Ovis aries: one gene and its partners. The protein of the gene in region 4 purifies or fractionates together with the protein of the main gene of each other region. This does not show direct contact. Links are inferred from orthologs where the notes say so. Each region holds a gene or a part of one and is shown on either strand. Other genes may lie near its edges.

Region 1 (4,845 bases), on a different chromosome or scaffold from region 4:
AGTGAAAAGTGAAAGTGAAGTCGCTCAGTCGTGTACAACTCTTAGCGACCCCATGGACTACAGCCCACCAGGGTTCTCTGTTCATGGGATTTTCCAGGCAAGAGTATTGGAGTGGGGTGCCATTGCCTTCTCTGAAGTTAAATAAGCAGGGTGACAATATACAGTCTTGACGTATGCCTTTTCCTATTTGGAACCAGTCTGTTCCATGTCCAGTTCTAACTGTTGCTTCCTGACATGAGTACAGATTTCTCAAGAGGCAGGTCAGGTGGTCTGGTATGCCTATCCCTTGAAGAATTTTCCACAGTTTGTGATTATCCACACAGTCAAGGGCTTTGGCATAGTCAATCAAGCAGAAGTAGATGTTTTTCTGGAACTCTCTTGCTTTTTTGATGATCCAACGGATGTTGGCAATTTAATCTCTGGTTCCTCTGCCTTTTCTAAAACCAACTTGAACATCTGGAAGTTCACGGTGCACGTATTGTTGAAGCCTGACTTGGAGAATTTTGAGCATTACTTCACTCGCGTGTGAGGTGATGCAGTTGTGCGGTAGCTTGAGCACTCTTTAGCATTGCCCTTAAAACCTATTTATTTAATCATTTTCCCCCAGGCTTTTGTGCATTGATTTCCTAGAGCTACCATAACAAATCACCACGGACTAGAAGGCTTAACACAATAAAATTCTATTATGTCACAATTCTGGAGACTATAACTCTGATATTAAGGGTGATGTCAGCAGGGCATTGCTCTCTCTGAAGGGTCTAGGGGAGAATTCTTCTCTTCATAGTTTCTGATGTTTGCTGGTAGTCATTGCCTGGAGACAGTCGAACTCCAGTCTTCATCTCCATCTTTACATGGCCCTCTCTTCTCCATGTGTCTGTCTTTCCAGATTGCCTTTTGCTTAGAAGGACACCCACCTATCATTGGATTAGCCTTCTTCCCCCCGCCCCCACCCAAATTATGACCTTTATTCGATTACATTTGCAAGGACCCTGTTTTCACCCCCAGATTCTAGATGAACATGAAGTTTTGGGTATACTTTTCAATCCAGTATGTTAAATGGAAAGAGGATTGTGATAATCAAGTTTATCTTCACACTAGTATTTCAGAGAATGTATTTTGAGGAAGGTTCAGACAACAGCTACCTTCTATAATCCTGTCCTTCCCATTGGGGATTTGAAGTGGGTAAGAGATGGGCCTAAGAACAAATGCAGAGAATGTTATTTTATGTGCTTTGTTTCCTCATACTAAAATGTATTTTCTTTATAATTTTCACTTCCTTCCTTCTAGAGTTGTTTATATATTTGGCCCACCAGTTAAAGAACCTCCTACAGATGTTACTCCCACTTTCTTGACCACAGGGGTACTCAGTACTTTACGCCAAGCTGATTTTGAGGCCCATAACATTCTCAGGGAGTCTGGTAAGTTGCCCATTTTGTTCATTACTACATGCTTCAACTAGATTTTGAAAGCTTGGCTTTATGATTTTTAGTAGGAGGATTCAGCTTTTAGTATTCCTATTTGATTCTGTGGGTAGTTCTGTGACATTGCCTTATCCATATAGAACTTACTCATGTTTATGGTCACTTGCAGACATGCACAAAGTGACAAAACTTGAGTTGCTCAGCTCAGATGTTCCCAGTTGAGGTTGAAGATGGCAGTCCTCTGTCTTGTTTCAGCTCTGTTTCTGTTAACAGGTGTCTTTTTTGTCGTCTATTTAATGCCATGTTGTTTTGCATTTTCATGCTTTTTGTTGGTGATTTCACTGTTTAAAAATGTCCTCTAAGCTTAGTGCTGAGGTGCTGCTGACTAGGTTCCTAAGCACAGGAAGACCATCATGTGCCTTACTGAGAAAATAGGTGTGTTAGATAAGCTTCCTTCAAGCTAGAGTTACAGTGCCATTGGCTGTGAGCTCACTGTAATGAATCTACAATAGATATTGAGTAAGGTGTCTTTAAACAGAAAACACATAAAGAAAGGTTATATATTGATCAGTTGATGAATATGTTATGACTAGAGGCTTGCAAGACCCTAATTCCGTATTCCCTCTAGGGTTAGTGGCTCAGCATTTTCTTATTCAGTGTTTGCAGTATAGAAGATAATTATATGAATAATGAATTGACTTATATGTATAGCATATCACTGCATTCATCAGACTCTGTAATTTGTATTTGTGATTGCGTTTGCTTACAGTGCTATGAGAGTAGCTGAATATAGTACATGATGACAGTCCTAAGAAGAGGTGTGTCTGTGTGTGTGATTGTAGGTCCTGTCTGGAAGGATTTAATTGAACTGAGAGTGCTTTCCTATGGCGTGGTAATTGATTCTACATGTTAACTTCCTTTCCCTAGGGTATGCTGGGAAAATCAGCCAGATGCCAGTGATTTTGACACCTTTGCATTTTGATCGGGACCCACTTCAGAAGCAACCTTCTTGCCAGAGATCTGTGGTTATTCGAACCTTTATTACTAGCGATTTCATGACTGGTATACCTGCAACCCCTGGCAGTGAGATCCCCATAGAGGTAATAGATACATTTTTTTTCTGATGTACATATTTAATACCTTAACATTTTATAATAATGGTGAATGGGATAGGCTGTGGCAATGTTGATATTTCTGAGGTTGGTTTTCTGTTCATAAAATAGGCTCTAATTTTTTAAATCTCCACATAATTCATTATTTAATACATTATAGTAGGAAAAGGCCCTAAGTATATTACCTCTCTTCCAGATGTCTGATTACTATGTGGAGACTCCCAACTCTAATCTATCTTTTTATCTAATCGTGCCAACCTCTGCCTTATAAATAATGTCCTCCAAGTAAAACAGAAAACCCTAGGAGTGAGGAAGGAAGAGTCAGTTAGATATAAGATACAGCATTATGGCCAGGCACCCATGAATTTCTTCATGCTCTGCCAACTAGCAATTACAGTTTTGATCATCTTCTTTCTTGTTATCCCTGCACTAGAGTGTTGTTTCCAGAGGAGCTGTTTCTAAGATAGCAAGTAAAAGTCAAAGCAAGACTTTATTAGTTGTACCACTGTTCCAGGACTCTAATACAGGGCTCTGATTATATTACTAGCTAGTATAGAAATGTGGTTTGGAGAATGTGGCTTAGAGTCTATTTTCCCTTAGGCTTGCATTTGCCCAGCCTCTGGCCAGTTAGGTGACAAGGCCTTCCTCGTCTATACATGTAGCAGTGATTATTATTACCTGTGTTATTTGCCACCGTAGTGGCCTTGGAGTTGTGAGCCGCAGAGAATCTGTGAAGCGTTGTCTTCCGCACGTGAAGTCTCATGCTTGAATGCTGCAGCAGTGTCAGGTTGCTATAGATGCTTCTAAACATTTGCTGTGGACCAGTAACACCCATGACTTGCAGACTGCATGAGTACTGCTGAATTTAAGTCACTTAAATCTGTGGAGTCACTGCGTAAATTAATCATAAATGTATCCCATACACCTAGAAAGTGAAAGTTGCTCAGTCGTGTCTGACTCTCTGCGAATCCATGGACTGTATAACCCATGGAGTTCTCCAGGCCAGAATACTGGAGTGGGTTGCCATCCCCTTCTCCAGGGGATCTTCCCAATTCAGGGATCAAACCCAGGTCTCCTGCATTGCAGGTGGATTCTTCACCAGCTGAGCCACAAGGGAAGCCCATATATATAGAGAACAGTGGTAAAAATAGATTGTGTTTTAATTTGAAATTACAAATGAAATTACAGATTCTAGCTCTGTTAAACATGCAATGGACCCTAGCTCTTTATTTATAATCTTTATTTTATAACAGGTGGTGTTAAAGATGGTCACTGAGATTAAGAAGATTCCTGGTATTTCTCGAATTATGTATGACTTAACATCAAAGCCCCCAGGAACTACTGAGTGGGAGTAATAAACTTCTTGTTCTACTAAAGTTCCGTGTGCAGTTTAAATTGTTTAGAAACCATTCCCAGTGTTGAATGCAGTACTGTTAAAAGTGTTACTGGAGCAACCACATCACATCTGAATTCTCTGCAGCAAAAGTCTACGGCTTAAGAGCTGAGCTGGGGATAACTAAAAGGGACTGAAGAGTTTGTACGGGTATAATCAAAGCACCATTGCCTACACTCAGACAGACTGACACTGCTTTTGCCTTTACCTCTGTCTCACTTGTTCGTTATGTATAAATTCACTGTTTCTATTGATGTGTCTGCAATCAAAGATGTATGGAAGTGGGTGAATTTGGGGGCTGGTAGTAGACTTCTGTCCCCTTGCCAGTTTCTAAGAGATGTTAGAAACACCATTATTTACCAATGTGACTTAGTATGTATACCTTTTGGTGAAACTGAATTTCCCTGTAAGTAACTTTATTCCTCCATGAAGGGGTCAACATATCAGATAAAGATATGGGTGGGCTGTCCCACCCACTTTTGCAGGACACTGGGACCATAAAATGGTAAGCTACCTTAAGATGGAAAAGCACCAGGAATTTGTTGAAGGACTTTGGGTTTTATGTCATTGCAGTCATGGGAGGAAGGAACTGTGTATGGTCGCCATTTAAAATGTTTTCACATCATGCTCCATGTTGCGCTCTGTCAACCTGTTCATTAGTAAGGAGCTTTATCCTCCTAGTCTTATGTTGCAAGCTCGCATAGCCTTGTAGAGGAAGGAATTTTCTGTTCTGTCCACAGAAGAGACTGTCTTTGGGTCTAGTGTAAAGTTCGAGCATTTTTATCTTGTTTGGCCAGAGTGAAGCTCTGAGATCACAGAAACCATCATGCATGCCCGCAGCTTACAGATGCATGCCTGCGGTTTACATAATCTAGTAAAGAGCTGTAAAATGAACTCTCGGTGTAATCTATAGATATTT
Region 2 (4,620 bases), on a different chromosome or scaffold from region 4:
CAACTGCAGCTTCCCTCTGACAGGTGCAAGCACAGCTGACCAGTGTGGCCACCTAGACCTGAGGTCTCTCCCGCCATCCGTTAGTTACAGAGACTTAGTTTGGGCCACAAAGAAAGGAAAGCCTAGTGTGGAAACATGGGCCTCTCGGCAGGCTGCTCTTACCTTCATGGAGTCATACAGTCTGTCAGCGAAATACAGGGGCTTGTTCTGAATGCACTGGACTGCGGGGAGGAGAAAAGGGTCAGCAAATGGGCTGCACAATGGGAAATGCTCAGGGAAAACCGGGGATGCTCCAAAGCCCCGAGTGCTTTCAAATCAGGGGAGTCTGATGGCCATAGAAACTGACGCATATATGTGTGTTGCCCCCAAGGACAGAGCCCTTTCCCTGGTTATCTTGTTCTGCCTGGGCAGCTCTCCATCCTACCAACATAACCCTGTCTTCAGTCCCACATCTTAAATTCATACGATGAAGATTATGAAACTACCTACAACATGTAAAGAAGTCACACTTCCCAAAGCCACCCGAATTTTCAGGGTGGTCATTTATTACTTCTCTGCTTCAGCACAGTGGACTGAAAGCTGATGTCCACTAGGATGGGGCAGGGGCGGGGGTGGGGTGTGTGTGTGTGTGTGTATGTGTGTGTGTGTGTGCGCACTTGCTTACCCAGATTCAGAAAGGCATTTTCCAGGTCTCCTTTGACCTCCTTCTTGATGCTCTCCAGCATGTCATAAGGGCTGTAGCTCTTGTACCTTTCAAATACTAAAGAAAAGCAACAAACAATTATTGTAACAGCCACTAAGAGAGCTGTCAATGGTGACCCACAGAGTTACACATCACACACACACAGATGATCACAGCATTCTGGGGGTTAGGGACTGCCTTGTGAACCAGGGCCAACACTGCACCAGTTGCCCTGGGGCAGCCCTCCCATGCATCTGTCCTGAATGGCACAGCCCAGGGCGTGTATTTTGACCATCTTCATCTCTATAGAGTGGAACCCATTTTATCTAAGCTACTAGAACCAGTATGTAGCACCCAGCCAAGTCCATTATTTAAAAAAATGTGGCAAGAGAAAATGACACCTATTTTATCTAAGCTACTAGAACCAGTATGTAGCATCCAGCCAAGTCCATTATTTCAAAAAATGTGGCAAGAGAAAATGACCTAGACAAGAAGAGGCAGCCCACCAAACAGGCACCAAACATGGAAAATATTTAGGGGAAAAAAAAAGCATCCAAAACGGGAGAGAAGGTTGAAAGGGTTTGGCGAGGAAAAATGCGTGAGATCATAGGGTACAGAGTGGAGAATGAACTCTGTTCTGGCAGACCCGAGCCCCAACACAGACACCCGCTGGCAATGACCCGTCTGGGAGGGCCCTTCATTCGGGCCCCGGGACTCTAAGACCTCCCCAGAGCAGCACCCACCTTTCTGGAGGTGGCACACGCTCCGCTCAGTCATGATGCTGATCCACTTGGGAACATCAGTTCCTTTCCTCTTCACACCAGCATCATAGAGATCCTGTGAGCACAACCAGCCAGGAAAGTGAACCCCACAATCCAGAGAGCAAGGTCATTAAAAACACATCACACACACACAAAAGAAGAAAAAATCTACGCTTTCAAAGTGCCAAATGAGAGAGGATGGCATGGCAGGCACAGGAAAAATGTGCTATTTTCTTGATCAGTGTCAAAGTCTTGCTCCGTCCTGAGGCACGGACACGCAGTACAAGACTAGGTTGTTTGTGAGGCTGATGCTGAACCAGTCTTCCCTGAATGCCGAGGGAAGAACCAAGAGCTTCTACTCATCTACAGGATAAGCCAATGCTCACTAGCGCCTCCAGCTCGCCTCCATGTGGCCCTTCCATTTACTGAAGACAGCTGCAGGTCAGGTGCCCACCCTGGGCTTCTTAGAGACTGAGAAAATGATACAGCTGGGAAAAAAAGCTGCTTCAACCACATTCTCAGTTTCTAGAAAATTTACGGGCTACAAGTAATGCTAAGAATGTCAAGGAAGGCGGGAGAAAGGCTTACGCAGGAGCCAATACTCATTGAGTGACTGTCCACTATCTGGGCGCTGCAAAGCCTAACTTCCATTTCTTCATTAAAAAGCTTTTTCTACCTTCTGCTAAAAGTGCTGTGTGAAATATACTGAATTTTAAAACTAAAATGAATTAAAATTAACCTTGTTCTTCAGCTCCTCTGAAATACACTGAGACATCTGTCGACCCTCTGGGAAAGGCAGGCAGTTCACAGTGATCTGAATCAGCTTCCCAACTAGTTCTCAGTGATTATGGGATGAGAAGCAGCAGGAGTTTCATCTGGCCAGAAAGGAAGGAAGGACCTCTGCCTCCCTCGTCTTCTCCCCCACCACCCGGGGCAGTGGGCTTCCCCGTCCCTGGCCACGCCTCTACCACCCCCTTCCACTGCTGTGTGTTGTATACTGTATTAGGGTTCTTTTGCAGCAACTGCACACCAGTGCGCGCAGCTGTAGCACACCCTGCGGAAACTGGTTCCTCCATACAAGCAAAGCTTGAACGAGCAAATGTGAGTCAGCTGCTGATCCTGGAACTAACACCGGCATTAGAAGGTTGTATAACTATGGCTCCCAGAAAGTGCAAATGAAGCCCACAGGTTCTTAGACGTTTCTCACTCCCAAACATGGAGCCCACCTCCTCTCCCGCTGTCTGGAGGCTGGACCTAGGGACTTGCCTCTGATGAACAGAGTGTGGCAGAAGTGACAGTGTGGGGCTCTTGAGGTCACATCCTAAATGGCACCTGGCTTCCTCCTGATGCTATCTCTCTCAGATCACTCCCTCTGGGAGAGCCTGCTGTCACACTCTGGGAACACTCAGACAGCCCCTTAGCGAGGCTCACGTGGAAAGGCACTAAGGCCTCCTGTCAACAGTCACGTGGGTGGGTCATCCGGGCAGCCTCCTGATGCAGTCAGGCCCTCAGAGGATGCAGCCCTGGTCAACAATTTGTCTGCAACCTCATGAGAAGCCCTGAGCCAGAACCACCCAGCCAAGCCACTTCCCAGTGCCTGACCCACAGACACTGAGGGGTAATACACGCTTGTGGTTCTAAGCCACTGAGTTTCGACGTAATTTGTTACGCAGGACAGATGACTACAAAGACTATCCAGAGACTAGGAAACAAAACATCAAACCAAGAAGCTTGGCACTGACCCTGGCGTCCTGATCTATCAGTTCATAATCAATGACAGAGCCATCCTCTGCTCTCCGACCCTGAAAGAAAAAAAAGAGAGAAAGAACATCAAATGTATATCTTTGTACATTTTAAAACTGAAAATGTTGATTTCTCCCCAACTCATGTAAGCCACTATTTACTGAATGGACACCCTCTGAAAATTATTCTTCACTTAAAAGTCTAGGCAAGACCAAGGATTGCTACAATTGAGGCAGTGAAGTAGGGGGCTGTACCCTCTGTGGTACCCATTCCTGGGCTAAGCACCTTATAGAATCCACCCTCTGTCCACCCCTTGAAAAGGTAATGATATTTAAATTCCTTCCCTCAGAGAGCACACAATCCAGAAGGAGAAATAAGGATGGGATAAATGGTAAAGCCAAGTATCTGTGGCTCTAAGCAGATGTGAAATGCAAAAGAAGGGAGAAATCTGTCAAGTAGTATCATCAGCAAAGTCTATGGACAACGCGGTACAGCTGAGGTAAACCCAAAGGATGTGTCAGATGAGGGTGGTACAGGGGAATGGGAGAAAGCCCCACGCAAGAGGAAAGTCTCAGAGGAGTGAGGTGAGCAGGGGGAAAGCCTGGGGAGGAAGACTAAGGGAGGGCCAGGGTACAGAGGATGCCTGAGGCAGTTGAGGGTTTGTATGTGATACAGCAGAAATGAGTTTTGATCAGGGTATGAGTAAAACAGTACAAGTAGATTTCAAAATGATGGGTAGGTGACCAGACTCAGGGCAGGTGGTAGAGAAGGGAGCTGGGGAGGGCGGAATGGAGGTGTAGGTGGCCAGGATGGAGTGTGCCCACTTGTCTTCAGGGTTCCTGGATGAAAATTCCTCTTCCCTTGCAGCGCTCAGAGTCATTAAACTGCACATGGGTCAGAACTCAGACTTAGAAGGGAAGTGCCTTTCAGCTACATTAATGTGTTAACCTTGGCAAACAAGCAAAGAGCTTCTCCCCAGGCAAACCACTACCTGGGCAAACCATCCCCTAAGAAATTATAACAGGTGAAAGAAACAAGAGGGTCACTTCCCACTGGGTCCTATGTGACAACATAGAGAGGCAAAATGACTTTCCCCAAGTCACAAGGCTGGCACAGAAATCCAGGCCAGGAGCTAAGAGCTGCCTCTTCCACCTCTGGCCCCAAAGTCCACCTGACCATACGGTTTTGCAGGATAAGAAATCCTATTATACAAAAATGACAACTCTGCAGTTGACAGTGCAAACCCACTGTCAAAATACAGCTGGAATTTCTGATGCAGGCCCAGAGGACTGAGTTAATTCGCTCCCGAGTATAAAATGAGGTATGTAACTTGCTTTGGGAGGAAGCAAGGACAAAGAAACGAGCCGGAAACTAACCTTTGCGAGGGCGACCATCAGCTTGCGGAAGTCGCCAGATGTGTCGGAAACAATGTCC
Region 3 (4,275 bases), on a different chromosome or scaffold from region 4:
TGGAACTGCCCCAGAAACCGGATCTTTGTCCTCCATTCAGTTGGATTCTTTCTCCTGCTTCCCTGAGGCTGGGGTGATCTAATTGACTCCCCCGAGATAGAGGGAGACTGAAGCACAGCCCAGCAAGGGCCACACAGTAAGTCAGGCCTCTGTCAGCCCCTGTTTTTTTTTTTTAACTAGAAGTAAATAGAATTGTGTCAGATGGGTTGATAGGATATTGGAAAGGTGTTTTTTTTTGTTTTTTTTTAACTTTTTATTTTGTATTGTAGTATAGCCGATTAACAACGTTGGCATAGTTTCAAGTGGGCAGCAGAGGGACTCAGCCATACGTACATGTGTATCTGTTCTCCCCCATCCATCAGTCCCTGTTACCCAGAACCAGGAGTGATGAGGTGAGGTGGGGGCATCCAGCCCATGGGGGTGGGTCAGAACTTCTTTACAACCGGCCCTTGCAGGCCCACACGGAGGGAGCCCTGGGCCCAGAAAAGGAAAGGACTGGCCTTGGGTCACCCAGCAGGAGTTGAGAGCGGCACCCGAGGCTCTTGACAGAGTCTCTGCCTTTGGCCGTTGGCTTGAACTGTTTATAGGCAAGATAGACGTTGCAAATTGAGCCCAAAGGCCACCCTCAAAGAGCAGCCATTTTAAGAATGAGACCTGGATTCTGACCTACCTTGTTTTCCTATTTTGTGACCTTTGTTCCTCTCCAAGACTCAGTGTCTTGGTCTCTAAAACAGGGGTGACTCACTAGGTCCCAGAGAAGAGAGGTAAAGTATCAGCTGCCCCCTGCACGGTGCCTGGCCCTTAGGCCGTGAGCACCTAGGACGTGAGTGGCTTGCACGGGCGGATAAACAGGCCTTAAGGAGGAATAACCCCGTGCTTGGGTCAGGGCTGGCCCAGGGACACTGAATACCAGACACACAGTGATGACCATGGCCAGAACCAGTTTACTGGTCGAGGTGAAGGGCTTGGGCTCAGGCCTCCCCAGCATGTCCTAGAAATCCATGTCCTCGGCCAGGTCCTGGAGATACGCCATGTACTGGTCTGAGGTGAGGGAGAGGGGTTGGCTGTTGGAAATGTGCAGGTCGACAGTGTTCTCCAGGGAGGAGGCACCCCCTTGCCGCGCTATGTCTACAAGAACCCTGAGGCACATGGGGACAACCTGTGAGAGATGGGGGAGAAATTGTCAGGAGACACCCCAACACCATCCACTACCCAGGATGGGGCTGAGTAGACTACAAGTCCCAGCATCCCCCACGATAACCCAGGATAAACCAGGTCCAGGCCTGCTGGGAGTTGTAGTTTCCCCCATATTCACACCCAAGTTCAGTTCAGTTCAGTCTGTCAGCGGTGTCAGTCTCTTTGCAACCCCATGGACTGCAGCACGCCAGGCTTCCCTGTCCATCACCAACTCCCAGAGCTTACTCAAACTCATGTCCATCAAGTTGGTGATGCCATCCAACCGTCTCATCCTCTGTTGTCCCCTTCTCCCACAACCAAGGGAGGCCACAAAAACTAAGGTTAAGGCTGCTGAAGGGGTTCCTAGAAGCTAGGGAAGCAGCTGGTGCTCAGAAGGACTCTTGGGAGCTGAAGTACCTCACACAGGCTGCTAGGATTTGTAGTCCACCAACTTCCACATGGTTGGGCGAACTCAAAATTGGCTCTGGGAGAAAGGCCATTGGAGGGACACCCAGAAGCCCCTGAGGAAGAACTGGCAGTTGCAGAGACTGCCAGAAGAACTATGGGAGCTGTAGTTTCTGGAAGCAGCCTTCCTTTTAAAATCCACCCCTCAGCTCCAGGAGCCTGGGGCTGGCAGTACCTTGACCATCACAAGCCTCTTGATCCATGGCTGGTCCTGGGGCCATGACTGCCCCACACAGAACCAGAGGGTATAGAGTGGTGAACGTCTGCTTCCTTCAGTGAAGGTGATCAGATCTGGGGGCCAAGGAACAGAGAGTCAGGGATGGGAAGAAGACCTTCTACCTGCCCCTCCCCTCTCCCCCAAAACTTCATTAACATCCTTATCTTCTCTCCTGATCAAAAGCCCGGCATACCTCTGCCACCATGACTGGGGGCTGTTAATTTGGGGAAAGCCCCTCCACTTATGCACAAGCTTAAATGTTCCTCCTCCCTCCCTCGCATCAAGATGGGGCTGGAAGGTGAACCCCACCCCGCCCAGAGCCCCAGCCTTTGGATGGGGAAACAGGCCCAGGAGGGGCGTTCTCCTCCCCAAGGATGCTCAGTGGTTCTGGAGGACCAGATCAGTGGTGGTGACTGCTTTTTAACCCCTCAAGGCCACACTGTCCACTATGTAGCCATTAGCCATGGCTATTTAAGTTTTAATTGTATCTAATTAAAATCAAATAAAACTTAAAATTCATTTCATTTTCACTCACATCTAAATACTCAGCGTCCACATGCAGCTAGTGGATACGAAGCTGGGCAGTGCAAATACAGTGCTATCTGCATCACTGCACCAAAGTCTATTCGGATAGCAAGCCTCTAGGGGATATCTTTCTCCTGCATCTGTCTTTCCACCACAGTTGGTAATAATGATAATGACTCTGGCAGCTAATTCCCTGAGTGGCTTCTGTATGCTGGGCCTGAGCCCCCTGCCAGCTCCAGGCAGGTAAGGAGAGGGAGGAGACAGTCTGCAGATTTCACAGGTTCAGAGCAGTCCATCCTTCTCCCCAGGTTCAAGCACAAGCAGAGCCGCAGGGTCTGAATTCCACCTCCAACCTCCTGACCCCAGAGATTTTCACCACCGTTGCCTCCTGTTTCCACAGCAAAGCGAAGGCCCTGCCTCACTCACCTGTTATGAAGGGCCCCAGGTTGAACACACCTCCTTCCCTGTCCTTCGGGACCTCGCCGTCAGGCTTGTGGCCACAGCTGGGGAGGAGTTCCTCGCCTATGGCCCAGTACACGTGGCAGTGCCCCAGCCTCTGGGCGCAGAGCCACTGCCCGGCCCGCCACAGGGCCAGCCCCCCGCCCAGGCAGCTCAGCACACGCTGCACGTAGTCTGTCACGCTCTTGTCTGTCAGGGACGCTGCGGGGTCCGGCAGTCGTATTGGCTGCCCGGGCAGCATCCTGTCCCCTGCTTCTGATCCCACCAGCCGCAGGCCCCCAGGGCAGAAGACAGTCTGCTGGAAGACTTGGCAGCCCCGGTAGAAGGCAGTCACCTCGAACTCCCAATCTGAGCAGCAGCAGCCATAACGCGAAGGGGGAGAGAGAATGAGCAGGTGTAAGGGTGTTCTCAACTCGGGTCCTGGCCCCTCCTGGCCCGTAGCTGGCACTCACCTTCCTCGTTCGCCAACAGCTGCTTCAGGGGGTTTTCAGAGAGTCCCCAGTTTGGGCAAAGAGCAGGGATGTCTGATTCGGGGCTCAGTAAGAGCTGAGGGGGGTTCTCAGAGGTCATAGTCAGATTCGAGGGCCCTCCTTCTGGGCTCAAGTCCATGTCACTCAGTAACTTCTGCACAATGTCTTCCTGGACAGGAAAAAATAAAGATCCAGGTGTTTCCATGGCCTTTTCTGGAGACTTCCCACTGACCAAGCTTTTGTATTCAGCCATGTGGAGACCCAGAGAGGAGACAGACCTGAGCTTTGCCCTCAAGGGGCTTCCAGCCTGGGGGAGACACAGCCACCAGCACAGTAAAAGACAGACAGCTTGAGTGTATGCTTGGCACTACAATGGCCCAAGGGGAGCAGCTAATTCCAGCCTGAGGAACCGGCTCTGTGCAAGCAAGACCTGGGCAGAGGGCCTTCCCTGGTGGTCCAGTGGCTAAGATTCCGTGCTCCCAATCCAGGCAGCCCGGGCCCCATCCCTGGTCAGGGAACTAGATCCCACATGCTGCAACTAAGAGTTTGCATGCCACAGCTAAGACCTGGTGCAGCCAGATAAATACTTTTTTAAGAAGACCTGGGCAGAGAAGTCTCAGTAGAATTTCAGAGAGGACTTTCCCCGGCACAGACATCAGCATGATCAAGGATAGCGAGGTTCTGAGCTCACAAGAGGCTGAGAGAACCCTGCACAAGGAGGAAAGCTATCAAATTCTGGAAAGGTGGATTGGGGCCTTGAATGCCTGGTGAAAGCTCTGAAGTTTCTCATGATGATGGCACTGGGAAGCCATGGGAGGGCTGTGAACAGGGAAAGGTCAGGGGCAGACCTGGGTCAGGTTGGGGACAGGCTGCAGGGGAGAGAATGGAGCCTGGGGTGACGGTCCCAGGGGAAGAAGATGACATCTGGACAGGCTGGTGAGGACACAGAAGATGGGATAGAGG
Region 4 (5,516 bases):
TACCCTTCCTGGGTCTCAAGTCTACCTCTTCTGGGATCTCTTGGCCATGAGCTCCTTCTGCTCCTTTCTAGTCCCTGGCCCACCCCACCTGCTAATCCCTGGGGTGGAACAAGCTGTAGCTCTCCATTACATTTTGGACCAGTGAGCTGGACATGGTCAAGTAACTACCCGGTCAGACTGGCTTTCCTGTCCTAGGCCTTTGAAAGTGAAAGCGTTAGTTGCTCAGTCATGTCCGACTCTGTGAATCTATGGGCTGTAGCCCGCCAGGCTCCTTTGTCCATGGGATTCTCCAGGCAAGAATACTGGAGTGGGTAGCCATTCCCTTCTTCAGGGGATCTTCCCAATCCAGGGACTGAACCCAGGTCTCCAATACTGCAGGCAGATTCTTTACCATCTGAGCCACTAGGGAAGCCCATCTTAGGCCTTTATGGTTCACTTAAATCTGGTTCTCATAGTCACTGTCATTTCTTGACAACTTGTCATTTCTTGACATTGGGCATCTCTCCTGGCATTCCCCTGTCCCAAACTCTGAGGCCATCTCCAGAGACTGGGCTGTCATCTCCAGAGACTGGGCTCAAGAAGCAGGAGCATTAGAATATATCTTGTCCCTCAGCACCTTTTCCTAAGACTCTCTCTCCATCTGACTGGGAGCTCTTTTTGATCTCCACACTCTTTTAATCCCCTCCATCAAGAGACCTATGGGGCAGCTGGTTCTTGGGGAGTGAGATATAGGGACTGGCATAGCTGGACCCTCCCCAGGCTTCAGATCTAAGATTCCCTTCAGGATATGACTCTTGCCTTAAAGGATGCTTTCTTCATTGCAATGTCCAATTCCAGCTTCTCAGCCATCTCCTGCTTATCTCTTAGTTTCTTTAGTGCCACCTGAAGCTTTTCCTGCAGAGAACGAAAGCAAGATGATACCCAGTCAGGTCAAGAAGTAGGGTGCAGTGGTGTGAAGTGGGGGGAAGATCATACTGGTTCTTAGAAGAGGCTGAGTGCAGAGGACAAGGAAGGACTAGAGTCTGTTTGGGGTAGGAACTCTGTGGATGGGAAGGTTTTGGAAAAAGCCTGATATTTCTTACAAAATAGGGCCACACGGTTGGTGTACAAAGGGTGGGGGCACTGCTTGTTCCTAATTAAGCAGGAGGCCACAAGGGAAGAAGATTCTTGAAGCATTTTCCCATAGCACATCCCTGCTCTGTGAGAATGAGAAAACTGTGCTGAGCTTGCCATTTCCCCCTTAAATAAGACATAGAAGGCAGGAGACCCCTATTCTTTCCCCAGCCCCACAGGTAACTCTCTCCCATTTCCAGCTCTGGGGAACAAAGCCATCAACAGGGCCCCATCTCCTTTTTACCTGTTCCTGCCTCTGTGCTGAGGACTCACCTGGTACTCCTGAGCAGCCTCCTCAATAGGGACCATGGGATGATCACGGTGTTTCTGGGACTGGGAACACACCCAGCAAAGGGCCTTCCCATCTGCCTCACAGAAGAGGTGAATTTTCTCTCTGTGCACCACACACAGCTCCCCGTGTGGGCCCTCCTTGGCACCCTGGCTGATTTTCCTAAGGTTGTCCACCATGTTGGCTACCTGTCGATTGGGCCGGAGATTCTGGAGCAGGAAGTGGCGCCGGCACACAGGACAGACGCTACCTCCTTCTTTCCCGACCTCAGAGATGCACTCCTGGCAGAAGCTATGACCACATTCAATGCTCATAGGCTCCACCATGGGATCCAGGCAGATAGAGCACGTGACCTCCTCCCACATCATTGTCAAGGGTACGGCTGAAGCCATTGGGGTGATGCTCCTCTTCGGTAGTGCTGGGGAGATCTTGCGGTGAGGGGAGAAGAGGAAAGGGACGGAAGAGAAGAGCCAGGTAAGAAAAGGGAACCACGAGAGAGGGTGAACTGGAGGGAGTGAAAACAAGAAAAGACAAGGACCTCAACCTGAATAGTGCTCCTCTTCCATAGTCTGGGTCACTGATCCAGTCAGACAGAAGGGGACACTGAGTCCCCAAGAGATAGCAAATATTGTTGAGAACCTGAGAGACAGCTGCTTACAATTCGACTTTCATCATGTTCATCTCTGCTTAACCGCTCAGAGTCCAGGCTTTACCTATTGATCTTCTGCCTCAGGCCACTGGTTTTCTACTCTGTTGAGAAGCTAATCTTAACAGTAGCGACCATTGACTGTGCTCGTTCCATGTGCCAGGTGCTACATGCTTCACATACATTCTCATTAATCTTTGCAATAGGCAGGAGTTATTGGTATCTATCTAATCATCGGTAACATGAATATATATAAGAATATTTATATTTATGCTTACATATTTTCATAAGGATACACGTATATCCGTAAGTACATGGGCTTCCTAGGTGGTGCAAGTGGCAAAGAATCCACCTGCTAATGCAGGAGACACAGGAGACAGCAGGTTTGATCCCTGAGTTGGGAAGATCCCCTGGGGAAGGAAATGGCAACCCACTTCAGTATCTTACCTGGGAAATCCCGTGGACAGAGGAGCCTGGCGGCCTACATACAGTCCATGGGGTCGCAAAGAGTCAGACACGACTGAGCACACACACACACGCATATGTATATGTGTGTATATATGTATGTGCATACACACAGAAGCGTGAGGTTTATTAAGAACTTCCTGGGCTCTTCTCTCAGCTACCCTGAACCTGGCCCCGCCTTTGTTTCTTCTAGGGCGCAGACCCATAGTTTTCTAATATCCTAAGCAACCCTGTCTCTCTCACCTCCAGAGGGAGCCTTTTGGGGACAGCAGTCTCAGGGATCGCGGACCTACCCCCACACCGGGCTCCCGGACCACCCCTGAGCTAGGTTGCCATCCTGGTTCTCCCAGTTTCCCTGGTTTTTCTTCCCAGCTCAGGTGCCGGCGGAAGCAGAGCAATCCGAGCTCCTTCCAGGGGACATCCCAGTCAGGTTTACAGCCCAGCCTCCTCCCAGGCTGCAGGGGAAAAACTGCTGGGTTAAGGTTGAGGGAGACCTGTTGCGAAAGAAAACCTGAGATCGAAATCTCTAGGGGTGGGGACGGCTTGGATGAGGCACTTCAGACCTGGGGCAGGGGAGAGAGGTCCCCTAGGGAGAGCTGGGGTACCTCGGTCTAGCCAAGTTCACTCACCTTTTCAAGAGACGCAGTGGATGGCAGCCGTTTCCTTATTTCACTTTCGATTCCTTGTCCACCGCAAATCTGAAAGGGAGGCGGGCAGAGCGGGAGGAGAGTGGGCGGGGCCAAGGGAGGAGGAAGGCGGAGGGGTTGAGGTGCCGCCAGAGTCTGGAGCTTCTGGGAGGCTGGGGCGAGCGAAAGCTCCGCAGCCTTTAGTCCTTGCTTTGCGTTCCCTCCCGTGTCCTCATTGTGTAATAGAGTGAAGCATCGTATCTGCTGCGTGGAGGAGCCATGCAGGCCTACGTGCTGTGCCCTCGTGTGGGAGCTGCTTTAAAGGAGGTTTGGATGGACAGGGGTGCCTGGAGGTCTCCTCTAAAGGCCATCTTCTGTTCCCTATTTCCAAAAACAATTCCTTTTCAGGAGACTTGATATTCTTTTAACATCAGGGGGAGAGCAATTTATTCCACAGTACCTCAGCGCATTATCACACCAGTGAGTGGTAAGAAGGGACTTGACATTTATTGAGGCAACAACTGTGTACTTATCCTTGAGCCAGGGACTTTCTCAGGTTGTTTTATTATTATTTTAAATTATGGTGAAGTACGTATAACATTTACCATCTTAACCGTTTTCAAGTGTGTAGTTCAGTGGCATTAAATACGTTCACAGTTGTATACTTCACCACAGTCCATGGAGTCTCAAAGGGTCGGACACAACTGAGCCACTAAGCACAAGAACGGAGAAGGCAAGGGCACCCCACTCCAGGACTCTTGCCTGGAAAATACGAGGGACAGAGGAATCTGGAAGGCTGCAGTCCATGGGGTCGCTGAGGGTCGGACACGACTGAGCGACTTCTTTCACTTTTCACTTTCATGCATCAGAGAAGGAAATGGCAACCCACTCCAGTGTTCTTGCCAGGAGAATCCCAGGGGCAGCTTGATGGGCTGCTGTCTATGGGGTCGCACAGAGTCGGACACGAGTGAAGCGACTTAGCAGCAGCAGCAGCAGCAGCAAGCACAAGAAACCTCAAAGAGCCAGGGAGTAGTGGCAAATTCCTATTTATAAGAATCAGAGTTTTTACTCTGGTGGAAGAACTTCTTTCTTTACTAGACCCTTAGAACAAGGCTGAGCCCTGTGTTGGGGGATGGAAAGAAAATGATCTGTAAATGAGTTACTAGTTTGAGGGAAATAGGAGCTGCAACCACCTCCCTTCTTTATTCTCTGAAGAGTGTGTTTATAATGGCTATAAAAAATACCATCACCTATTAGTTGTTGATCTTAGATGTGCACCAGAATTTATGGTACAACATTCTTATATCATAGAGTGGGGTTTCCAAACTGCTGCCATACCTGAGCCTTCAGCAGTGCATCTCATATTTTTATTGGACCATCTTTTTCTGGTTGATGATGTACATTGTAAGACCACTGCATTCCATAGTGCAACCCCATTATCAGAATTTTTTGACTGTAAAATCAGTTTCTTGGTTGTAAGTGATGTTGTTGGAGACCTTGATGTTGTAAATCGAAAAACAGTGGTGCTGGTAGAAGCAATATAAGATGGCAAATGAATCTGTCTCTGGTATAGTAGCTATTTTGTGAGGATAAATTGCTGTTGGTTCAATGTCATTATCATGCCACTAAAAGACTGCCTAGATTCTCTTAGAAATAGGGAAAAATCAGGCTCAGAGTTGGTCTTATATGTACAGGTTTCTATAGCAGTAGGAATACAAATGCTGCTTGAGTATGGATTCCTCGGGTTTATCCATTTACCACTACTGATACGGACACTTGTACAAGAGTCCATTGAATAAGCACCAGGTGACTGAGAAGAGGCTGATCAACATCCACAAGATGGGTCATCTTATTTACCTGATTGTTGTTGTTTAGTCTCCCAGTTATGTCTGTCTCTTTGCAGCTCCCCTGGACTATGCATGACAGGCCTCCCTGTCCCTCATCATCTCCTGAAGTTTGCCCATGTTCATGGTCTTTGCATTGGTGATGCCATCCAGCCATCTCATCCTCTGATGCCCTCTTCTTTGCCCTCAAATCTTTCCCTGCATCAGGGACCTTTCCAGTGAGTCATCTGCTTACATCAGATGGCCAAAATACTGGAGCTTCAGCTTTAGCATCAGTCCTTCCAGTGACTATTCAGACAGGATGGGTCATCTTATTCACCTGATTATTGGGTGCCTTCTCTGCATTATACGTGCTTTGGTGGAAATTCACATAGGACAAAAACATTTTCACTCTGGGCCCTATCTTAGATGTTCAGTGTATACTTCTACCCATAACTTGTTGTCATCAATCTTTCAATCTTTTTTTATCTGTAAGATAAAATCAGGTGATACATATACATCATATATATCAATTCTTCTTTGGTTTCAAGCAA
Region 5 (4,845 bases), on a different chromosome or scaffold from region 4:
TTGGGTGGATAGTATTCAAAAATAGTAATTGATTTTTTTCCCTTGGCTTATGTCCTTCACAACTCCACCTGGTTCTTAAATCATGCCAATATGTGGTATTTGCTTTCACGGAGACACAGCAGTATGAATCAAAGAAAATATTGGTCTGCTTCTGTCTCTGAATCCCAAACATAGCCTATATCACAGAAAAAATAGTTGGGAGACCCTCTGATGAAGGAGCAATGCTTTCCTGCTCTTTCCCAGAAGAATGGCCAGATCCTTCTTGTTCCATGCCTCCTATTGAAGTGGCTGGGCTCCAAAGGAGAAATGACTGCAAGGTGTTTTTAGGTGTATGAAGCCAAGGGGATAGATGGGGCTCTCTGGGATTCCTATGCTCCCAGGGATTTTGGGGGGTAGCAGAATGATTCATATGAAAGTAGAAATGACTATTTCACAAATTTAGGCAGATGGGACCTTAGAAAGTGTCCATTCTAAGCCTGTATGCATAGAAAAGCATAGTTGACTTGTGGTGTACATGCATGTCATTGTCACAGCAGACTGACAGTGGGTCTAAGGTTTCAATGACTAGACCAGGGCCATCTGGACCTAGAGGCAAACAGGCACAGATTACTAGCTCTATCCCATAAATAAAACAGAGACTACGTGAGGCATTACTAATTATCAGAGTTAACAGTAATAAAAACAGTAACACGATAAAACTTGAACAATTATGTTAAAAGAAATGTCTTCAACTGGTATGCTTGGATTCGTATAGAGGGCTTCAGCCTAGGCAGCTTGGAACTTGGGTGACAAGCTATTTTCGTGATTTAAATGTTGCTTTGGCCTATTTCTCCTGTCACTTGCTTATTTGCTGCAGGAATAGGTGTTGTACCCCAGCGTGATGGTAACCACAAGGGTCATATCAGGACAGAATAAAGGCAGGCGAGCATAGGAGTCGATGCACATGTGTGTGTGTCATTTTTCCACCCTGATCTGGTCTTATCCTGGGAATAGGGCACTATGAATGAAAAACGCTGCCTGCCATATCAGTAAACTGAGGATGTTGTGGCCATCAAGCCATCGCATTACAGCTGCCCACACTGTAAGCCCTGAGGGAACTCAGGATAGAAGCAAAATGCCCTCCAGCAAGCAGTCAACTGCTTCAGCCAATCCTGACGGCGCCCCCTCAGGAGACTCAGGGTAAGGATACTGGCCCCAGATAGCTGAACTTTATAGCAAAGGGTCTGTGAGCCCAGATCTTTGCATCTTTCTGTATATAAAAATGTGTTAAATTTTAACTTGAGACATCAGGTTCTCTTTAAAAACAGTAACATTTTGATGTTCTGACTGCCTGGTCCTTGTTAACAAGATTCCTGTATAACCTGCCTCCCCTTCTTGCTTCTTCAGAGCAGCTCTCTCAGAGCTACCTGAGAATCTGTGTCCCCATCTTAAGTCCTCATATTTGTCTGCTGAATAAAGCATAATTCTTAACTTTTAGGTTGTGGATTTTTTCAGTTGACAGGCACCTTATAATTTATATTATAGTTCAGTAACAAAGAAAAATGTACATTTATTATAGTTTCAGTAAGTGCTAAAAAAGGGAAAGTAAACTGACCTTTGAAAGCAAGCAAGAGGAATACCTAATATATTCTGAGAGTGGGCAGGTATCAGTGGGGACTTGCCCTAGGAAGAGATTAAAGTTTGCAACTCAAGACAAGTAATTTCAAACATGAAAAGTGTCTATGTCAAAATATCAGACCTGAGAAGGAGCACCGGACTTTGAAAATGAACCCTGCCATGTGGTCAGTGAGCAAATGGGAAGAGGGCCAAAGGAAAGTGGAATGTATGAAGTAAAGACACACTCATTTTGACTTGTTTTGTCACCTTTCCCTCCTCTTTCTATTCAATACAAGAGAGTAAACCTCTCAAAATTGGAGGTTTCATGAACTCATGCTTTGGTAAACAGCCAAATTAACAAGGAGTTAGAATAGAATGGGATCACAGATTAAACACTGATAAATGAAGGGGTAAGTATAATAAATGACTAAATGGGAAGTTCAATGATGATAATTCTTGTACTTCTCTTGTAAGAAGTGCAAGGAATGGGATCAAAAAGCCGGTACCTTGCTTGAGAAATTGCTGAATGGTTTTGGTAGAACAATTGGAGTCATCTGGCCACTGCTCACAGTTGGGCACAAGCTGGTTGCTGAAGTTCCTGGAAGCTGACTCTGGTTACAAGATATCATCTTCCTTTTTAAGTCCTTAGGTGTGGTGGCTGTGTCACTTTTTTTCTGGATAAAAATAGATTTTTTTCTTAGTTCTTGAAAATGATTTTCAAAATCACACAGAATATAGCATCTTTTCTCTTTCTCAATGTTGAATCTGAACTTTTCAATTTTTTCTGGACTGATAGCACATATTCCAATACCTGTATTACTTATCCTTTACCTACCTCAACTATGATTACAGATTTCACTCTCCAAATACTAACAGCTCAGACAAAATTTCATTGATTTGGGGATGGAATCTGGGTCCTACATCTGATGCAAACTGGCCAAAGCAAGTAGATAAACTTCCCTGGCTATAAGAGAAGTAAATCTCAGTCTAAAGTTGGCTGCACTTAAGGATGTCTGTTAACTACGACTTTTTCATCAAGAAAAGACACAAGTGGGTTTCTAGTATCTATTCTATAGGCTTCTACAAACCTACTGATCTTCTGAGAAATATTACTGGGAAAAATATGGACTCTTGTGACTAATAAGAACAATGACAACAACCACAACAAAACCACAAATTTAAAGTCCCCTTATGTAGGAGTTCTGTCTTCAAGTGGAATGTGCGGGGTGGTGGTGAGGATATAGCCTGAGTTAGAGGGCAGCTTGGGTCTTGGGTAAGAAACTGGGTTAGAGATTGTGGTTTAAATCTTGCCTTTGCCTACCCTTGACACTTATCTTGGGGGAATCTTTTCCTGCCCATTCATCTTAGACACATACTCCATAGTTCCAGGTTTCATGTAACCCAGGGCAAAATAAAAACCAGGTTGGGATAGAGGTTGATGCCTACAACTGTGGACTCACTTTCCCACCCCTGTCTTGTATTCTCTTTTGATAGAGCACCTATACTCCAAGATCATTGTCTAGAAGAGAAGAAAAACAAATTTATTAAAGTTGTGATACACACTATACAGGAATAGTAAAGGATTCTGTAACGGCGATAAAAAATGAGACTATCTATAAGTTTTGGGGAGGGGTGTCTCAGTGAGGACATGCTGAGGAAGGAATTCAGGCTGGTACCTGATGGTTGAATTAATTTAGCCATTAAAGCAACATGAATCATGAGTGTGAATCAAGGAATTAGCCTATGAGCAAATACCTGACATAGGAAGGAGCATAGAATGCTGAGAACTAATCTAGAGGTGTGGTTAAGAGAAAAGGGATGAAAGGAAACCGAAATGTTGGGGATAAACATACCCTTATGTTCCTGTCTAATTGCCTGGCCACCTCCATAGGCCTGTCACATTTGTAAGGTCAGCAATTATTCGTAAATGTAAAAATGTCCAAAAGTCCAAGGACTTAGAACACACTAAGACCTCAACACTTTTTTAATTCATTTATTTAATTTGCCTCAATATTTTATTTGATAAGTTTTGGGGTGATTTGATTGCATAAAGAAGTTTGTATCTAGAAAGGGAATACTGAGAGATTTTTTTCGGGGTCATGAGTATTCTTATAATATGTTGTAAGGAGGGACACGTATTAGGAACAGGAAAATGGTACCTTGGTTAAGGAACTGCTGGATGGCTTTGGTGAAGGCATTTGAGGAGTCTGGAGAAGGCCCTTAGTTGACTCTGTGCTCGTTACTGATGATCCTGGAAGCTGACTCTCCTCCTTGGTTAGCTTCATCCTCTTAGATTCACTAGTTTCGGTGGTTTTCTTTCTCTGAAAAGTAGGATTTCCCCTGCCTGGTTAGTAGTTTTCAATGAGAAATGAAATACATCTTCACTACTTAGAAAATCAACTTTTTATTACTAGATTCTAATTATACTCATTCTAGTTAATCTCATTCTCTGTTGCTCACTTCTCCTGTCCTCAGTCTTTCTCAGCATCGGGGTCTTTTCCAAAGAGTCAGCTCTTTGCATCAGGTAGCCAAAGTACTGGAGCTTCAGCTTTAGCATCAGTCCTTCCAATTAATTTTCAGGGTTGACTTCATTTAAGATCGACTAGTTTGACCTCTTTGCTGTCCAAGGGACTCTCAAAAGTCTTCTTCAGCACCACAATTTCAAAGCATCAGTCCTTCAGCACTCAGACATCTTTGTGGTCCAACTCTCACATCTGTATATGACTACTGGAAAAACCATAGGTTTGACCTTTGTCAGCAAAGTGATGTCTTGGCTTTTTAATATGCTATCTGGGTTTGTCATAGCTTTTCTTCCAAGGAGCAACCATCTTTTAATTTCATGGTTGTGGTCACCATCCACAGTGACTTCGGAGCCCAAGAAAATAAAGTCTGCCACTGTTTCCACTTTTTCCCCATCTATTTCCCATGAAGTGATGGGACAGGATGCCATAATCTTCATTTTCTGAATGTTGAGTTTTAAGCCAGCTTTTTCACTCTCCTCTTTCACCTTCATCAAGAGGCTCTTTAGTTCCTCTTCACTTTCTGCCACAAGTGATGTCATCTGCATATCTGAGGTTATATGTTTCTCCTGGCAATCTTGATTCCAGCTTGTGTTTCATCCAACCTGGCATTCCGCATGATGTACTTTGCATATAAGTTAAATAAGCAGGGTGACAACATACAGCCATGTGGTTCTCCTTTCCCAAATTTGAACCAGCCCCTTGTTCCATGTCCAGTTCTAACTATTGC
Region 6 (4,845 bases), on a different chromosome or scaffold from region 4:
CCTGCCTGATGCACTCGATGTAGTAGGCAGCCAGGCTCTGGATGCTGTCCAAGGGTGCCGCTGTGGGCACAGCATGAGGCTTAGCCCTGTCTGCAGGTGCCTTGCCACCCCCAACTCCCTGGGGGGCAGCCCAGTAGGCCCCTGACATACCTCTTGTACACTGTAGGCCATAGGTGGGGATGCTGAGCTTGGCGGCCAGGCTGTGGAACACGGTGGTAGAGCCCTCTATGGGGTGCACCAGGAACAGGGGCCGCTCGGAGCTCTGCACCGAGTTGAGCCGTGTCAAGGTCGGGCCCTCGGGGTTCACCAGCAGGGTGCTCAGGTTCAGCTGCGTCTGCGACTGGGCAGGGCTGCTCAATTTGTGTGTGGAGTTCGTCAGCTCTGTGAAGAGGGGCAGATACCAGGGATGATACCATAGGGTCCCCTGCCACAAACACACAGACACGCACACCTGTCGGCCGCGGGTGGCCAGGGCACTGGGGGCCCAAGGAGGGCTCTCAGGAAGGGGCCAGATGGACCAGCCCTGACCTGCTTGGAGGCCAAGAGCCCTGAGCGGACAGTGCTGCTTCGGGGACACCCTCTCCATACCTACCATCAGCCGTGCCAGCCTGTGCGGAAATCTCCTGCAGCTTGCGGATGGTGAGCTGCCGGATTTCCCGCATGGACAGCGTCAGGTTGCGCTCACGCTCCAGCGTCTGGCGCACCTCCACACCCATGAGTGAGTCGAGGCCAAGGTCTGAAAGCGAGCTGTCCGGGTTGATGGTGGCCAAGTCACGGATGCCTGGGGGGTGAGGAGGCAGCTCAGTTGGCAATGCGGGAGGGGCCCTGGGTGGGTATTGTACCCTGGACATGAGTTTGAGTAAACTCCGGGAGTTGGTGATGGACAGGGAGGCCTGGTGTGCTGCGATTCATGGGGTCGCAAAGAGTTGGACACGACTGAGCGACTGAACTGAACAGATTGTACCACGGGACCCACAGCCCCCACCCAGCTCTGCAGACCGCCTGTGCCTCTCTCTCCATGAGCAAGCCCAGCACGCCCCCCTTTGGCAGCCTGGAAGACCAGACTCGGGAGTGGCTGCCGGTGGGGAGGGGGCAGGATGTTGCCTCACCCAGGATGTGAGCCACGGCCTTCACCAGGTCCTGCTGGCTGCCGCTGGGGCCACGGGACGCAGCCTTCTCTGCCAACACAAAGCTGCTCAGGACGGGGTGGGGCTGGTTCAGGAAGAGGTCTAGCACCTCCAGGCAGGAGGTGATGCGCTGGGGCAGTGTCCCGCCGATGGCCTTGTCGTTAGTGCCCTTCAGCTCCACGAGGATGCCCACATCAGCAATTGCGCCCCACTGCACGGCGAGGCCTGTGGGTGGGCAGTGGTGCCGCGGTGAGTCAGGGTAGCTGTGAGGGTGGCACCGCGCGAGTCGGGGAGTGGTGGGTGGGCCCACCTGGGAGGCCGTCGTGCTGACGCTTCTCGCATATGCGCTCCATGGTGGAGTTGGCGAACCCATAGTTGGTCTGGCCGGCATTGCCACGCCCGCAGCTCACCGAGGAGAAGACCACGAAGTAGTCCAGCTCCGGGCATGCCTCCCGGGTCACCCTGTGGGTTCTTAAGTCACCCCCAGCCGGCTTCCCCAGCCCACCGGCTGTCATGCCCAGGACTCCTGCTTGTCCACCAAACTGCCTCCCCTTCCCTGGACCTGCGGTCAGACCCCAGCAGAGGCCCATGGCCAGGTCTCCAGGTCACCAGTGTGAGGGCCGTGCAGGGAGAAGGAGGGAGAGGAGAAGGGAGGAGCCCACCTGTCCAAGTTCAGGGTGCCATTGTACTTGGGCTTGTTGACGTCCTGGAAGAACTCAGGGGTCTGGTTATCCAGCATGGCGTCTCTCAGGACCTGGGGTGAGGGGATCTTAGCACCTGCCTCGGCCCCAGGCCTTTGGAGGGCTTCTTGGGAGGGGCCCTTCCCTGGGCAGCCGGCTCCAGCCCCTCTAAAGCCGTCCTCACCACGGCCAGGTTGAAGACGCCTCCTACGGGCCCAAGCTGGGCGGCCTCAGTGATAAGCCTCTGGGTGCCATCCAGTGAGCTGACATCTCTGGTGGACACCAGGACCTGCACACCCTGGCGTCTCCACTCACGGACCTGCCTGGCTTGGTAGCCTGTGGGACACAGACAGTGGGAAGGGATGGGCAAATGAAGGTCTGGTCCCAAGTCTAGGTGCCTTGAGAGCACCATAAAGGGGTCTGAAGAAGGCCCTTCCCACTGCCCCACCCTCGGGCCACTCACCTGTGCGGATCCCAGAGCGGGAGGTCAGCACCAGCTTCTGGGCCCCTCGCTCCACGAGCCAGTGGGCCAACTCTAGGCCAAAGCCACCCAGGCCCCCAGTGATGACGTAGCTCTTGTGGGCTGGGCAGAAGGTCTTGCACAAGGCCGCCATCTGGGTGGGTTTGGTCCCGTGCAGCACTGCCTTCTGCTCTTCCTCACGCACCTGCAGCCCAAGCAGGGCCCCTGTTCACGCACTGCTGGCAGGGGCAGGGGCCAGAGACCCTCAGGGCACCCCACTCACCTGAATGACCACTTTGCCGATGTGTTTGCCCTGGGCCATGTAGCGGAAGGCGTCCTCCACCTGGGTCCTGGGGAACACTGTTCGCTTGAGAGGCTGTACCACACCCTCCCGGATGCCCGCCTTCAGCAGCGATGACACTTCCTGCCACATGGTGCTGTTTTCTTCAAAGAGTGCGTCCAGTAGGATCCCGTGGAAAGTCACGTTCTTCAGGAAGATGGCCATGCCTGGACAGGTGGGCGGGCAGGGGGGCCTCACCACATAGCCCACAACCCCCCACCCTGCAGATCCCCACTCTGCCAACAGCCCCCTGCCCACCCAGCCGCCCACCAGGCCTGCTGCCCCATCTCACCCAGAGGGTGGTTGTTGGAAAGGTCAAATTTGCCAATTTCCAGGAATCGACCATGCTGGGCCAGGCACCGCACACTGGCCTGCAGCTTCTCTTCCGCCAGGGAGTTGAGGACGAGGTCAACACCTTGGGAGAGGGGAGCAAGCAGGGTCCCCATAGTGAAGATCACAGCCCGGCTAACCTAACACAAGTCTGAAGGGCTGGACCCTGTCCCAGCATGGGCCAGCGTCTCCTCCAGCTTGGCTGGTGAGTGGGGGATGGAAGGAAGAAGGGGCCGAGGATACAGGTCGATAGTGGGTGGTAGGTGATGGGGACCACTCACCCTTCCCGGCTGTGTGCCACAGGACATGCTGCTCAAAGGATGTGTCCCGGGAGTTGGCAAAGCTGGTTTCGTTGAGCTGGGGGAACCTGGACTGGAGGTATGCCCGCTTTTCGGCTGACCCTGGCAGAGAGAGGCACACCTGGTGAGTCTGGGCTTTGGCAGCGTTGCCAGGCGGACAGTCCTGGGCTCTGGGAAGAGCTGGAGGCTTACCCACAGTAGTGAAGACGCGGCAGCCCAGGCTGAGGGCAATGGCGATGGCAGCCTGGCCTACGCCGCCAGAACCCGAGTGAATGAGCACGGTCTCCCCTGGTTGCATGCGCCCGCGGACAATCAGCGCGTAGTAGGCTGTGCTGTAGACAACGGGCACCGAGGCGGCCTCCTCGAGGGTCCTAAGGGCGCAGTGCAGGGATCAGCTCTGGCCTGATGCCTGGCCACGTCCACGTCGGGCCCCAGGTCCCAGCCCTGGTGACTCACCAGTTGGAAGGCACGTCCCACAGGAAGCTCTGAGGCACCAGAGTGGAGGTGGCCAGGCCTTCGGCGGGTACCAGCCCCATCACACGCTTCCCGCTGGCATCTCGGCCAGAGAACTCCATGCCTAGCATGCAGTTCCGAGAGGCCCAATTTCCTGGGAGCAGATGGCGGGTGAGTGAGCCCCTGATCTCACTGGGAGGAGCCTCCCAGGTTCCTGAGCACTGCGGGGCGAGGACCCCTCTCATCCCAGGCCCTGGCCCCGGGGAGGGGCGGGCTTTATTCTGGTGCCCCTACTGTGGGCTGCCTGTACCTGGGATGGCGTCGGGGGACAGCTTGCCCGTGGCCAGCATGATGTCGCGGAAGTTGAGGGAGGCGTAATAGATGGTGCAGAGCTGGACGCCAGGGCCCGTGGACTGGCTGTGGCGCAGAGGGGAACAGACCCAGCGGATGGAAGACAGGTCCCCTCGTGTGAGTACATTTATGAAGGCGTGCTCCGTCTGCTCCTCGGGCTTGTCTAGGGGGTGACAGGAAGTGGAGCCCTAGGATCGCACATGGCCCTGACCTGGAGCAGGGCTTCCAGCCAGAGTCCTCTTGCCCTCTCCTCAGTCCACCCACCTGGGAGGCGAGGAACCCGGAGGAGCAGGGCAGTCCCGGGGGGCTCACCTTGTTCCAGTGGGAAGTGGCGGAATGCTCCCCAAGCCCCATCACGGTAGACGTTCATCACCAGGTCACTCTGGAGCACCTTCTGCAGCTCCAAGGACTTCGGGGCTATCTCAGGGATGGGGGACGTGCTGTTAAGGTTAGACACCAGGACGCACCTGTGGGCAGCCAGACAGGTAAGGGGAGGCTGTGGTGGGGTCTTGGGGGCAAGGGGCACGTGGCACAGTGGACATCTCACCGAATCCGGTGCCCGTCAGGCTCTTTCCGGAGACAGTTCACCAAGCCCACAACCCCTGAGGTGGTGCAGCCAACAGCCATGAGCCACACGGGCTGGGAGGAGGAATCGGCCAGGATGTTCTGTAGAAAGATGAAGAAAGGGTTGATGAGGGAAGGGTTGCCTGACGGGGTGGGCTCCCCCGGTCCTAGCATTGGAGCCGAGTCAGCCCGGCCTGGTGGGGGCTGAGAAGGACTGACCTTCAGGGAGTCAACCCACTGG

The links.
Region 1: the proteins of TRIM21 (region 4) and GMPS purify together in Homo sapiens (affinity purification with western blotting; 3 studies listed by BioGRID). This does not show direct contact. The link is inferred for Ovis aries from reciprocal best matches to the Homo sapiens genes TRIM21 and GMPS.
Region 2: the proteins of TRIM21 (region 4) and ANXA2 purify together in Homo sapiens (affinity purification with western blotting; 3 studies listed by BioGRID, with this or other methods). This does not show direct contact. The link is inferred for Ovis aries from reciprocal best matches to the Homo sapiens genes TRIM21 and ANXA2.
Region 3: the proteins of TRIM21 (region 4) and IRF3 purify together in Homo sapiens (affinity purification with western blotting; 3 studies listed by BioGRID, with this or other methods). This does not show direct contact. The link is inferred for Ovis aries from reciprocal best matches to the Homo sapiens genes TRIM21 and IRF3.
Region 5: the proteins of TRIM21 (region 4) and interferon-activable protein 203 purify together in Homo sapiens (affinity purification with western blotting; 3 studies listed by BioGRID, with this or other methods). This does not show direct contact. The link is inferred for Ovis aries from reciprocal best matches to the Homo sapiens genes TRIM21 and IFI16.
Region 6: the proteins of TRIM21 (region 4) and FASN purify together in Homo sapiens (affinity purification with western blotting; 3 studies listed by BioGRID, with this or other methods). This does not show direct contact. The link is inferred for Ovis aries from reciprocal best matches to the Homo sapiens genes TRIM21 and FASN.

Annotation. Positions count from the first base shown.
Region 1 is NC_056054.1:232,461,406-232,466,250, reverse strand, and holds part of GMPS (GMP synthase [glutamine-hydrolyzing]), read left to right. Parts: intron 1-1,287; coding exon 1,288-1,418; intron 1,419-2,348; coding exon 2,349-2,521; intron 2,522-3,786; coding exon 3,787-3,888; 3' UTR 3,889-4,845. UniProt on the Homo sapiens protein: Catalyzes the conversion of xanthine monophosphate (XMP) to GMP in the presence of glutamine and ATP through an adenyl-XMP intermediate.
Region 2 is NC_056060.1:48,022,631-48,027,250, reverse strand, and holds part of ANXA2 (annexin A2), read right to left. Parts: coding exon 4,563-4,620; intron 3,246-4,562; coding exon 3,186-3,245; intron 1,520-3,185; coding exon 1,426-1,519; intron 761-1,425; coding exon 665-760; intron 222-664; coding exon 163-221; intron 1-162. UniProt on the Homo sapiens protein: Calcium-regulated membrane-binding protein whose affinity for calcium is greatly enhanced by anionic phospholipids. It binds two calcium ions with high affinity. May be involved in heat-stress response.
Region 3 is NC_056067.1:55,793,696-55,797,970, forward strand, and holds the end of IRF3 (interferon regulatory factor 3), read right to left. Parts: intron 3,482-4,275; coding exon 3,295-3,481; intron 3,191-3,294; coding exon 2,810-3,190; intron 1,933-2,809; coding exon 1,817-1,932; intron 1,160-1,816; coding exon 992-1,159; 3' UTR 925-991; downstream 1-924.
Region 4 is NC_056068.1:49,570,296-49,575,811, reverse strand, and holds the start of TRIM21 (E3 ubiquitin-protein ligase TRIM21), read right to left. Parts: upstream 3,199-5,516; 5' UTR 2,496-3,198; intron 2,459-2,495; exon of another isoform or gene 2,327-2,458; intron 1,831-2,326; 5' UTR 1,795-1,830; coding exon 1,387-1,794; intron 895-1,386; coding exon 799-894; intron 1-798. UniProt on the Homo sapiens protein: E3 ubiquitin-protein ligase whose activity is dependent on E2 enzymes, UBE2D1, UBE2D2, UBE2E1 and UBE2E2.
Region 5 is NC_056054.1:109,958,362-109,963,206, forward strand, and holds part of interferon-activable protein 203, read right to left. Parts: intron 3,918-4,845; coding exon 3,756-3,917; intron 2,271-3,755; coding exon 2,103-2,270; intron 1-2,102.
Region 6 is NC_056064.1:50,289,931-50,294,775, reverse strand, and holds part of FASN (fatty acid synthase), read right to left. Parts: coding exon 4,824-4,845; intron 4,707-4,823; coding exon 4,588-4,706; intron 4,508-4,587; coding exon 4,353-4,507; intron 4,204-4,352; coding exon 4,000-4,203; intron 3,844-3,999; coding exon 3,693-3,843; intron 3,608-3,692; coding exon 3,429-3,607; intron 3,339-3,428; coding exon 3,219-3,338; intron 3,023-3,218; coding exon 2,900-3,022; intron 2,775-2,899; coding exon 2,551-2,774; intron 2,473-2,550; coding exon 2,271-2,472; intron 2,144-2,270; coding exon 1,992-2,143; intron 1,882-1,991; coding exon 1,790-1,881; intron 1,590-1,789; coding exon 1,438-1,589; intron 1,353-1,437; coding exon 1,110-1,352; intron 782-1,109; coding exon 593-781; intron 382-592; coding exon 151-381; intron 61-150; coding exon 1-60. UniProt on the Homo sapiens protein: Fatty acid synthetase is a multifunctional enzyme that catalyzes the de novo biosynthesis of long-chain saturated fatty acids starting from acetyl-CoA and malonyl-CoA in the presence of NADPH.